2 linked regions of the Mus musculus genome follow. The protein of the gene in region 2 interacts with the protein of the main gene of each other region in a pairwise test. Links are inferred from orthologs where the notes say so. Each region holds a gene or a part of one and is shown on either strand. Other genes may lie near its edges.

Region 1 (4,884 bases), on a different chromosome or scaffold from region 2:
TCATTATAGAAACGAAGAAAACACGAAACGCCATCATTTCTTTTCTCCCTAGGTAGTGAGGCAAACTACACGGCTGTCTCAAAGTCACTTTCCTGACTACAGGCGGTGCCTGCATGATGCTGTGCTCTCTCAGGACGAACAGATGACGGGAGCATGGGAGAGCTGCATCATGGTTCTCCCTTACTACCAAAGGCCCGAGACCCAAAGTTGTCTAAGTCAGCGATCACACAGCTGGAGGGGATTTACTTACTGATAGAAAAGAATCCCAAACAAAAAACAAGAAACAAAATCCCCCAAACAACTCCAAATAAGCAAAAACACAGTAACAATATACAGTTGGCTCTTATCATAATCCTCAATCTAAAACGAACCAAAAAGAAAAAAGAACCAAGAACCGGGCAAGGAGGTTTTGAACCTTCAGTTAGAGACATAAGATGTAAAAATCAGTCAGTTCATTATCTGAAAGTGGGAAGTGGTCCTTTTAACTTTCTACTTACAATGACTTTATTTCCATAATTCCTTTATCTTCCACCTACTCTTTTCTAAAAAGGAGACAAAACTATTAGAGTCTAACGCTATTGAAATATCTTCATGTCAGCATAAGAGATGAAAAGCATGGCGGTCTGGACCAGGCAGCCATACACAACACAAACAAACTGCCCCATCTGAAGGCGGCCAGCATCTGGGAGAACATCAGAAGAGATCACAACAATCTCTTACTGGCACGACACACTTTGATCAAGAATTTCCATGGCCCATCTTACTGAAAGGTAAGACCAATGATAAGAGCAAAGCAAGTACACTCACTAAACAGAAAAGTTACTGCCTACTCATAAAATTTATTTAGATTTCTACTTACTATTTTAAAGATAAAATGGTTTTATTAAACAATTATTCTTATTAATAAGGTTTAAGGCACTTTTATTGCCTTCTGTGGATTCTCATAGCTACTACCCGCCCCACAAAGTATTATTTCAGCATAGAGGCTAGGGATTTTAATTCTAAAATGTAATACTTTGCTAATTTATTCTAAGATGAACTTAATAGCCAGGAAATTGATTTTTATAAAAGCTATTTCATGTGCAGAAAATACTGGCAATTCATAACAAATGCCAAACTGTCTGTGGCTTTCTAAACCAAACGTTTTCTCAGATTTGATTTTTAAAGTTGGAGTCTGTGCCTTCAGGGCTATTACTATTTGAGAACTCCATATAAATATTAAACTAAAAATTAAATGGTAATTTTGATTTTGCTTTTTCTTCAAATTTCTTCTCTTTCCTGGAACCACTGATTTTCAAAAATTCACAGAATGAGCATGTTTTTTGCAAAGTGGCTTGTCCTTCTTGGAGAAAAATGTCTGCCCTTCCAAACTTTCACAACACACCTGGAAGAAAAAAAAAAAAGAAGCATTATTTAAAAGAATAACATTATTTAAATCAAATCTCCCAACAGGAAGTGACTGCCCCCAATGAGCAACATTACAAGTTCTTTAGATAGTTGTGTGAGACAAGCTGACACTTCATGATTAACATGACATTTTATGTCATTTTTGAAAAGCAGAGTGATTTTTTTCCTAGAACAGTCTGATTTATTTAAATAACAGATGATTGCTTTTCTTTACTAAGAAGAAAACACTTAGTCCCAATGAAAATTTTAGTACACCAAAAGTCACATTAAGAATACAAATTCTAACCAATTTTTAAAAAATCTGTTTCCTTTTATAGAGCATTCAAAAAGAAACATAGCTTAATTCCTTTGCCAAACCCAATGTCAGTCTGTCCTATAACACAAAGGCCATAGATTCTTGCTATTATTATTTGTTCATCTTTTATTATGTGTATGTGCCTGAGTATGGTATGTGCATGAGTCAGGTGTCTTGGACACCCAGCGAGCCCTGGTGGTCAGCTGCTTGACATGGATACGGAGTCAATCCTGGGTCCTCTGCAAGAGCAGTAAGTGTTTTTAATCACTGAGCCATCTCTCCAGCCCCAGCAGGCTGGTTTTTAATTTACTTCCTGAACAAACTATCCATTCATGAAGGAACTGATTTGACTTGACTCTCCAGTGAACGCCTTGGGCAGTGCCTGCCTGGTGAGTGGTTCTGTGGTCAGGTTACCCACACTTTCGCTTTCGTGTTCTTTCTGCTGTCTTGTAAGTGACAATGCTCATGAGAAGACCTTCCTGAGAGGGAAAATATGCAAAAGCTGTTTTTTATAAACTTTATGAAGTCTAAAAGATGAATGAAATAAAAATAAGAATGATCTGAAAGGTAGTAGTTGAGAAATCATTTGACTTCATCTTTACCTAATTCTTTTATGTGCTGGGTATCAAATACTGTTAGGTAAGATTAAATCTAACAGAAATCAAATACTGGCTTGGAACAGCTTTACTGAATATTATTTTTCTAAATTATAAAAATTATCTTATGCTAATGTTAATCTTAATCACTAAAAAACCCCAGAACACTAGGTACAGTGATGCACACCTTCCATTCCAGATCTCTGTAGGCAGAGGCAGGTGGATCTCTGTGAGTTCAAGAACAACCTCATCTATATAGCAAGTTTGACGTCAGCCAGGGTACAGCGTGAGACCCTGTCTCTACAAAAAGCTGTTGGGGATAGCTAAGTCAATAAAACACCTGAGTGTTATCCCCCAGAAACCATGTACACATGCTGGGCTCGGTGGTACATGCATGCTTTGTAATCCCAGGACTGAGAGGGTGAGGAAAGGAGGGTCCCAGGATCTCTTGCCAGAAGCTCTAGCCCAACTGGGGGGGTTCCAGGCCCATGAGAAACTCTGTCTCAAAGAACGTGGCCAGTGTGGTCAGAGTGACACTTGAGGTTGTCCTTCAGTCTCCACAAACATGTAAACGTATGAACATACACATAAGCATACAAACACATAAAAATAAATAAAATCAAACCCCAAAGCACTAAAAAAAAGCAAGTAAATAGGTAATTTTTTTCCATGTTCATAGTTTCAAAAAGAAAAGAAAATCTACGAGCTATCTCTCAGTCAGGAAGAAAACTGAGCCATCTTGCTGGCTCTCTAGTTCTTTGTTTTTGTTTTTTGTTTGGTAATTTCTCTTTTATTTAAGAAATATCTAATATGTAAAAAAAAAAAACCTTAAACTGTTTAATAAAAGAATTTAGGAAATTAACTCATATTAAAAAAAGAAAAAATATCTTCTCCTTAGAGACAAGAATGCATTAAAGGGTAAAACCCTATTATATGCCAAATAATTTCAAATCAACTTTTAAGAACATCAAAAACCACTGTTCCTTAGCTTTGAGGAATGGAAAAACCAAAGTGCTGTTTATTCCCATTAAGCACTAAGCTTTTTTAAAAAAAAAAATTAGTTATTTATTTACATCTCAAATGTTGCGCCCCACTCCAGGCACCCCGTAACAGAGTTCTTCTCTCCCCTCACCTGAGAGCTGGCCCCAGTATTCCCCTGACCCTGGCGTATCAAGCACTAAAGCTTTGACCAGGACAGTGCAGTTTACTTACAGAGCACACAAAGCAAGTATCATGCCAAGTGTATCCCAGAGCTTCCAGGAACATGTCACCAGCCTCTATGGGGAATTCACATCCACGACATATTGTTCCAAAAAGGGCGTAGTAGTCTGCATCAAGTAAAGAGAGATGTAATTTAAACACAGTGAGGCTTTGGAACTGCAGGTCACAGGAAACTGTACGCTGGAAGTTAAATGAGCTACAAAGGTTAAGATTGAGATGGATGTGAGGAACGCAGTATCTCCCAGGGGTTGGGCAGCTTGGTCAGGATTTCCTCACTGGGTTGGATGGGAGATGGGACAACCCCTGCAGAGGATCCTCGTCCTTTCCTTATTACTAAATAATAATGCTTGAGATGTATGGATTTTCTTTCCCACATTTTTATTCTCGTTGATGAAATTCCATCACTGTTGTGTTGGCCTTTAGTACAGTCAATATAGCTGAAGTTAGAGGGGAGGGATTCTATAATGTACAGCATGATGCTAACATGCTTCAGCACCAAGTGTTGAAGTCACATCCAGACACTCTACTGGGCAGTGCTGCAGGCCCCACAGAGGTACACTTGCAGCAAGGACAGGTATGGATGCTCATCTCAGGGGACTTCGGCTAAGACTGTGATAAGTGCGATGAGGCAAAACAAACAAACAAACAAACAAACAAACAAACAAAGGGCTGTGATAGAGACTGATTACGGAGCATACACTACATTATATAGGAAGGTTAGGGAAACCTAACAGTCATGATGAAAGTGGGAGAATCACACTGAGATTAGTCAGGAGAAACTGTAAGTATGAAGGCACTGGAATCAGAAATAAAATCTTAGCCATGTTCAGAAATAACAAAGGGATAAAGTGTGGGTTAAATCTGAGGTCAAGATGAAAGGGGACAGCAGATGAAAGCCCACAAAGCAGGTTCTAGCAAGGAGGACGGTGTCGTGCTCAGGTCACAAGCACAGTCTGACTGGCACTGTTCACAGCGCCCTGATTTCTCCCCAGCTGCCAGTAGGAAGTCCAGGCACAGAGCAAGAGCAAGCTGGACATGGTGGTGACACTGCAGATGGATGCAGATGCTTGTCTGATACCCTCTGGAGGTGGAATGCCAGAGATTACTTGTTAGACTGGGTTCTAGAAGATCAGAGAAAGAGAAAAATCCTAGGCCTTTGGACAGTGGACTGCAGCCATCTACTGAGATTGCTAAGACTGGTTGAAGGTTAAGGAAAAAGAGTAAACATTAGATCATAATTCCCTCTCTGCAGGCAGGAAAGGCATTAGTTTTATGTCATGATTGCTTCTAAACTATATTAAACATCACAAGCTAGGTAGAGGTTTATGCTTTGGTACACCTAGAGTTCCTACAAAGCTGCTAAAA
Region 2 (5,858 bases):
TAACTCAGTTCCTGTTTGCTCTGGCCCAAAGATTTATTTATTATTATACATAAGTACACTTTAGCTGTCTTCTGACACACCAGAAGAGGAAATCAGATCCCATTACACAGGTAGTTGTGAGCCACCATGTGGTTGTTGGGATTTGAACTCAAGACTTTCAGAAGAGCAGTCAATGCTCTTATCCGCTGAGTCATCTCTCCAGCCCCCTCTCCTTCCCAATATGTGTCACTGGCCATGGACCTCTGTCCTTGCTTCTCTGTCCTCACAATGGCGAGATGGTGAGTTTAGCACTGACTCAGGAGATGGCTACCACGCTCATCTGGGGGCAGGTCTACTAAAACTACAGTGACACCAGAAAGACTCACAGGACTCCTGTACCAGGATGACACACAAATGTGTTCCATCCCCGCCTCCAAGGCTCAGGGGACATCCGAGAGGAAAGGGGAGAAAATAATACAAGAGCTGACCTAGCCACTGCATACATAGACTCACTTATGGGAGTGGCTGTCTGCAAATGAGATACACAGGGCTGGACCTCTCAAAATCAACTGGGATGTGAGAAGGGTCTCTGAGAGGCCTCTCTTTACCTGAGGAACTATTAAAAATAAACAGGACTAAGTAAAGTAAATTGCTTCCCTCAGTACTTCAATCACTAGAGTACTTGCTGGGCAAGCCTGAGAACCTAGCTTTGGAGCCATAGTGTGCTGGTGTGTATCTGTGGTCCTAGCACTGGGAAGGCAGAGATAGACAGCAATAGACAGACACCTGGAGCTCACTAGCCAGGCCAGCCTAACTTAGTTCCAGGCTCAGTGAGAGACCGGTCTCAGGAAACTAAGGGTATTGAGAAAGACACTAGGCACCAAGCTCTGGCCTCCACACATACGTTTACACACATGCCTGCACACCCAATGCTATGAGCACACATACATTTAAGTTGTAGACATATATGCATACAATAAATCTGTCAGGGGAAGACAATTATAAGGAGGAAAAAACAAACATAAGTTAAAAAAACCCATAAATACTTAGTTGCTATTTTTCTAAAATATTTTTTCAGATTTTATATATTTTTTCTTTGTAAGGCTGTTTTGACTGCGTGTGTGTGCTATGTGTGCTCAGTACCCATGATGGCCAGAAGAGGGCATCAGATTCCCCCTGGGACTATAATGAGCTATCTATCAGGAGGGACCTGAACCCTGAACAGGGGTCCTCAAAAAGAGCAGTCAGTGTTCTTAACCACTGAGCCGTCTCACCATCCCTCACAGGTAGTTTTTTCCTATGGTCTACACCATTTACCACCAGGGCTAGCTGCAACCCAGCTCTCTATCTCCCTGGACTGAGCCCAGGGCCTCAGGCATCCTAGCCAGGAAGGCACTCATTCACTTACTGAGTGACATTCTCAGGCCCACAGAGGTAATGTCTTTCCAGGCCCAATTGTCCAGTTGAGGCATTTAGGAGAAACCTCCCTGTCATCTGCTGCAATTACTGCTTGTAACCGTTGTTTCACCGTTGTTTTTTACATCATTACAAGAGTGTAATTCATGGGTGATTCATTAATTTAAGTAGTAACTGTAGCCAGCAGCAAGCTATTAAGTCATTAGGCAGGGTACCTTTCAGGGAGTGAATTTAACAGGTGGGGGACACAGCCCTCTCTCTTGTTTAAATAGCCTTTAAAGGGCACTGGGGAATGAGCTTACTTCTGTCAGTAAGAGGGGAAAAGAGGCTTGGCTGCCTGGAGTCAGCAGCAGGCAGACCTCCAAAGCTCAAGGCCAGCCTCCTCGTCTACACTAAGAGAACTTGCCTCAAAAAAGAAAGGGAGCGAGAGAAAGGGGAGGAGTTGGAGAAGGTGGAAGAAGAGGGGAAGGGAAGGGAGAGAAGGGGAGGGGAAGAGAGGAGAGAAGAGAGGAGGAGAGGTTTGAAATTTGGACTATTTCAAGTTGCCACCTGAAGCAGAATGATTAACAAATCATAGTATTCCTGACTTAAGTATTCCTGATGCAAAGATATGGTCAGTGTTTCTAATTAATTTCCCTGATGTTCTGAAGAAATTTTGCAAATGTGGCACTCTCGACAGAAAGCAACACTAAACAAAGGCAAGCAAGAAATAGCCTGCTTTATAATTCCATTTTTTTGGGTTTTTTTTTTTTTTTTTTTTTTGGTTTTTCGAGACATGGTTTCTCTGTATAGCCCTGGCTGTCCTGGAACTCACTTTGTAGACCAGGCTGGCCTCGAACTCAGAAATCCACCTGCCTCTGCCTCCCAAGTGCTGGGATTAAAGGCGTGCACCACCACGCCAGGCCTATAATTCCAAATTTAACTCACCGCAGCGGAAGCTTAGAGGTGTGGTTGGAAGTGGTGGGACCATAGACTATATCAGTATGTATGCCAACTGGTATGACCAATCGCATCAGCCCGCCATCTGAGACAACTAAGCCACCTGCCAACTAGTCACACTGTAGTCGCTCCTGGATACTCACTTCAGTGACAACGATTAAATTCTCCTTCTTGTTGTTTTGAGACAGGTTTCTCTACCCAGCCCTCACGAGGGTGGCTTCAAATTCAGAGATCTGCCTGCCTCTGCCTTCTGAGAGTTAGGATACAAGGTGTACGCCACCTCCACTCGGGCCTCTCTCTCTCTCTCTCTCTCTCTCTCTCTCTGTCTCACATTTGTTTCTTTTGTTTTCCAAGACAGGGTTTCTCTGTGTAGCCCTGGCTGTCCTGGAACTCACTCTGCAGACTAGGCTGACCTCAAACTCAGAAATCCACCTGCCTCTGCCTCCCGACTACTGAGAGTAAAGGCGAGCGCCACCACGCCCAGCCTGATTTTACCTTTTTTCTTTTTTAAACAGCTCTCACATATGCCAGGCTGACCTATGTAGCCAAGGATACTTTGAACTCCTGATCCTCCTGTCTGTCTTCACCTCCTCAGTGCAGGGATTCCTGGTTAGCCAGCTGGGAATCAAATCTAGGGCTTTGAGATGCAAGCAGTCAAGCTACTGAAACACACAGCCTTCTGTGTGACACGTGAAACGCATTCCGATACCAATTGGATGGGACCCAATGACACCTGAATGAGACACAGAAATCCACCAGAAGTGGACACTGCCAAGGCGCTAAGGTGGGCCATTCCATACATTACTCAGAAAACATCTCTGCTTCCTGCCTGCAAGTGCAGCCCAGAGAAGGCGGGTCTGTGGCATATTTGCGCCATGCACACTGCACACAGAGCCTGGCAGAGTGAGTACTGGCCCTGCTCTTGAGCACCGGAGCTGCTCCAAGTTTAGTCCCCCTGAAATGAGAAGCGTCCCGGGGAACCCGGGGAAGGATGCTCCATCCTGGGCTGGACCACTCAGGATCTCGCGAACCTGCCTTTCCGCAGCTGGCTAGCTCGCTACCCGGATCCTGCATCCTGCGGTCCAGCAAGCGCCCCCCACCCGCACCCGCACCCCGAGCCGCGCGCCCCCACCCCCACCCCCGCGCGCTCCCGCGCACCTGAGGCTGTCGTTGTCTCTCACCAGGCGCGCGCTCTCGGCAGGGGGCAGCAGCCCCCCTTCCAGATAGAGGCCCAGGAGCGCCCCGGAACTGAAGCCGAAGCGCTGGCGGATGAGACTGATGAGATCCGTGACAACTCGACATCTGTTCAGGTCCACCAGAAGCCAGAAGACCGTGCAGTGTGGAGTGGCCGGCGGCGGGTAGTCAAATTGAAGCCGTAGCCTAACCGTCTCGGAGGCTGCCATCTTGCTCATGCTCGACGGAAGCCGAGAGGTTCCAAGGGCTTTCGCAGCGGCGTGGTCCGGCGGCCCGCCCCCAGCAGCAGCTAGCGTGCGCCGCCTGGGGGCGCAAGTAGGTCTGTAAGGCTCCCCTCGCGAGCTCCCCATTCTTTCTCAGGGCTGAACATACATGCAAGTTGACTGTCAGGATAGCTGCTACGATATCGGTTCGTGTAATTAAACAGAAACAAACCAAAAATCTATAAAATTAATAAGCAGCAAGCCTGACTCGAACCCCTGTAATAGGTTTTTACTTTTCTACCAAAAAGGTCAGGAAAGCACCAAATTGTGGTGCGTGTCCAAGCAGAAAATGAGACATTCTCGTGATGCGAGACTTAAAGTTCTCATAAGACTGTTTAAAACTCACACACACACGTCCTTGGGGGCCTCAGGGAGTTCAGTGTGTCCTCTGTCCCTGACCAGATCAAGTGCTTTCCTCATCTTGAGGCAGAACAGTATTCTGAAAGTGTTGACGGTCCAGAGAGTCAGAAAGCTAAATAAATAGGAAGATTTTCTTTAAAAGATTTATTTATTATATATAAGTTACACTGTAGTTGTCTTCAGACACTCCAGGTGGTGCCTAGGTACCCAGAGAAGACACTCAGGAACCACACCATTCACTCCAGAGCCTGCTGTTCCCGACCAGTCCTGCCTGTAGCAGGCCCTATCATCCCAGAGGGAATCATCCCCTACGGACGCCCTGTTCTAGCTTTGTTCCTTTCTCCTCAGGGATGGCTGCTGCTGGCTGCTGGCTGCTGGCCACCTCCAGTCGAGAGGTAGAATACAGTATGACGCGAGAGCAGTATTTGTGCTTTTAGGGTTATTTAATATTTATTTTAAAAGACAGCCAATTTATTTATTTATTTTCAACTAGAGAATGGGTCTCTAGGTCTCTAGGAATTGGCTGTGGGGCCCTCACTGCACATCTTGTTCCTTAGCACTGTTTCCAGAATCCTTCCTCACGTCTGGAAGAGGTGGAGGAAAAGATTAGGGGTGGATCTCCAGGCCTTCAAAGACATCTCCTGTTCTGAAGGCCAGGCCCACTGTGGCTGGGGTCTCTGGCCTTGCTACCTGAAAAGTGAAGCCACATTCCCTCAGAGTTTTCATCTCATCAAGGAGCTGGTTGTCCTTGAACAGCAGCTGCTCCTCAGGAGGCCTCTTCATGATGCCCTCAATGATGCGCTTGAGCTCCCACACCGTGCTTGACTCCTTGGCATCAGTGAAGATGGTGGTCTTCTTGTGTCGGATCACAAGAAACACAAACAACCCTGTGTCTGCTTGTGACTCCATGCACCTCACTGGACCTGAGAAGTGTCAACAACAGACTTTAAGTCTTTTCATTGCTCTGGGGCTGAGTTTCTCTGACCCTGACAGGAAAGGCTGGTTTCAATTGGATATCTGCACCTGCAGGAGGCCTCTTAGGGTGTTGTTAATCTGAATTCATTAGTCTAATGCTGGTCTTTGCCCCACCTTATGCATATTGCAGAGGGCTGAGGCCTTCTGGATTATTTCTAGGAATAAACAAAACAGATTCTAGGAACACCTACCCTATAATCCCTTTCCAAATGCCCTTGCTTACCACAGTTAAGACATCTGACAGTTTGATTTTTTTTCTTAAGACTTTTAGAATTTACTATCAGATTAGCATCATAAATGTGAGATCCAATATCTCTAATCTATTCTATTGGTGCTGATGGTGCCTAATCATCCTTTTGCATTCTGAACTAGCGTTTTCAAAAGCCAAGGATTCAATTAATATTTTTCTGACTTCTCTTTACAACTGAAGTCAATCTTTGCAAAAATCAGGGAAGGCTGCTTTGGGGCCTTGTGTATTTTAAGGAAAAGACTCACACCTTTCTTGGTTCTTCAACCTCATCTCAAGCATTAAAAAGCTGCTAAATGACATAGCATCAAAATGTGATCATCAAATTCAAGCTGCCTTTCTAAATCTTTGTTGTTGTTGTTGTTGTTTGTTGTTGTTTTGTTTTGTTTTTTCAAGACAGGGTTTCTCTGTGTAGCCCTGGCTGTCCTGGAACTCACTTTGTAGACCAGGCTGGCCTCGAACTCAGAAATCCTCCTGCCTCTGCC

Evidence for each region.
Region 1: the proteins of Coil (region 2) and Pdlim5 interact in binary tests that used the Homo sapiens proteins (3 or more experiments, as listed by UniProt). The two-hybrid records come from large-scale screens. The link is inferred for Mus musculus from reciprocal best matches to the Homo sapiens genes COIL and PDLIM5.

Annotation. Positions count from the first base shown.
Region 1 is NC_000069.6:142,241,386-142,246,269, forward strand, and holds part of Pdlim5 (PDZ and LIM domain protein 5), read right to left. Parts: intron 3,627-4,884; coding exon 3,511-3,626; intron 1,385-3,510; coding exon 1,295-1,384; 3' UTR 1-1,294. UniProt on the Homo sapiens protein: May play an important role in the heart development by scaffolding PKC to the Z-disk region. May play a role in the regulation of cardiomyocyte expansion. Isoforms lacking the LIM domains may negatively modulate the scaffolding activity of isoform 1.
Region 2 is NC_000077.6:88,971,837-88,977,694, reverse strand, and holds the start of Coil (coilin), read right to left. Parts: upstream 3,761-5,858; 5' UTR 3,747-3,760; coding exon 3,493-3,746; intron 1-3,492. UniProt on the Homo sapiens protein: Component of nuclear coiled bodies, also known as Cajal bodies or CBs, which are involved in the modification and assembly of nucleoplasmic snRNPs.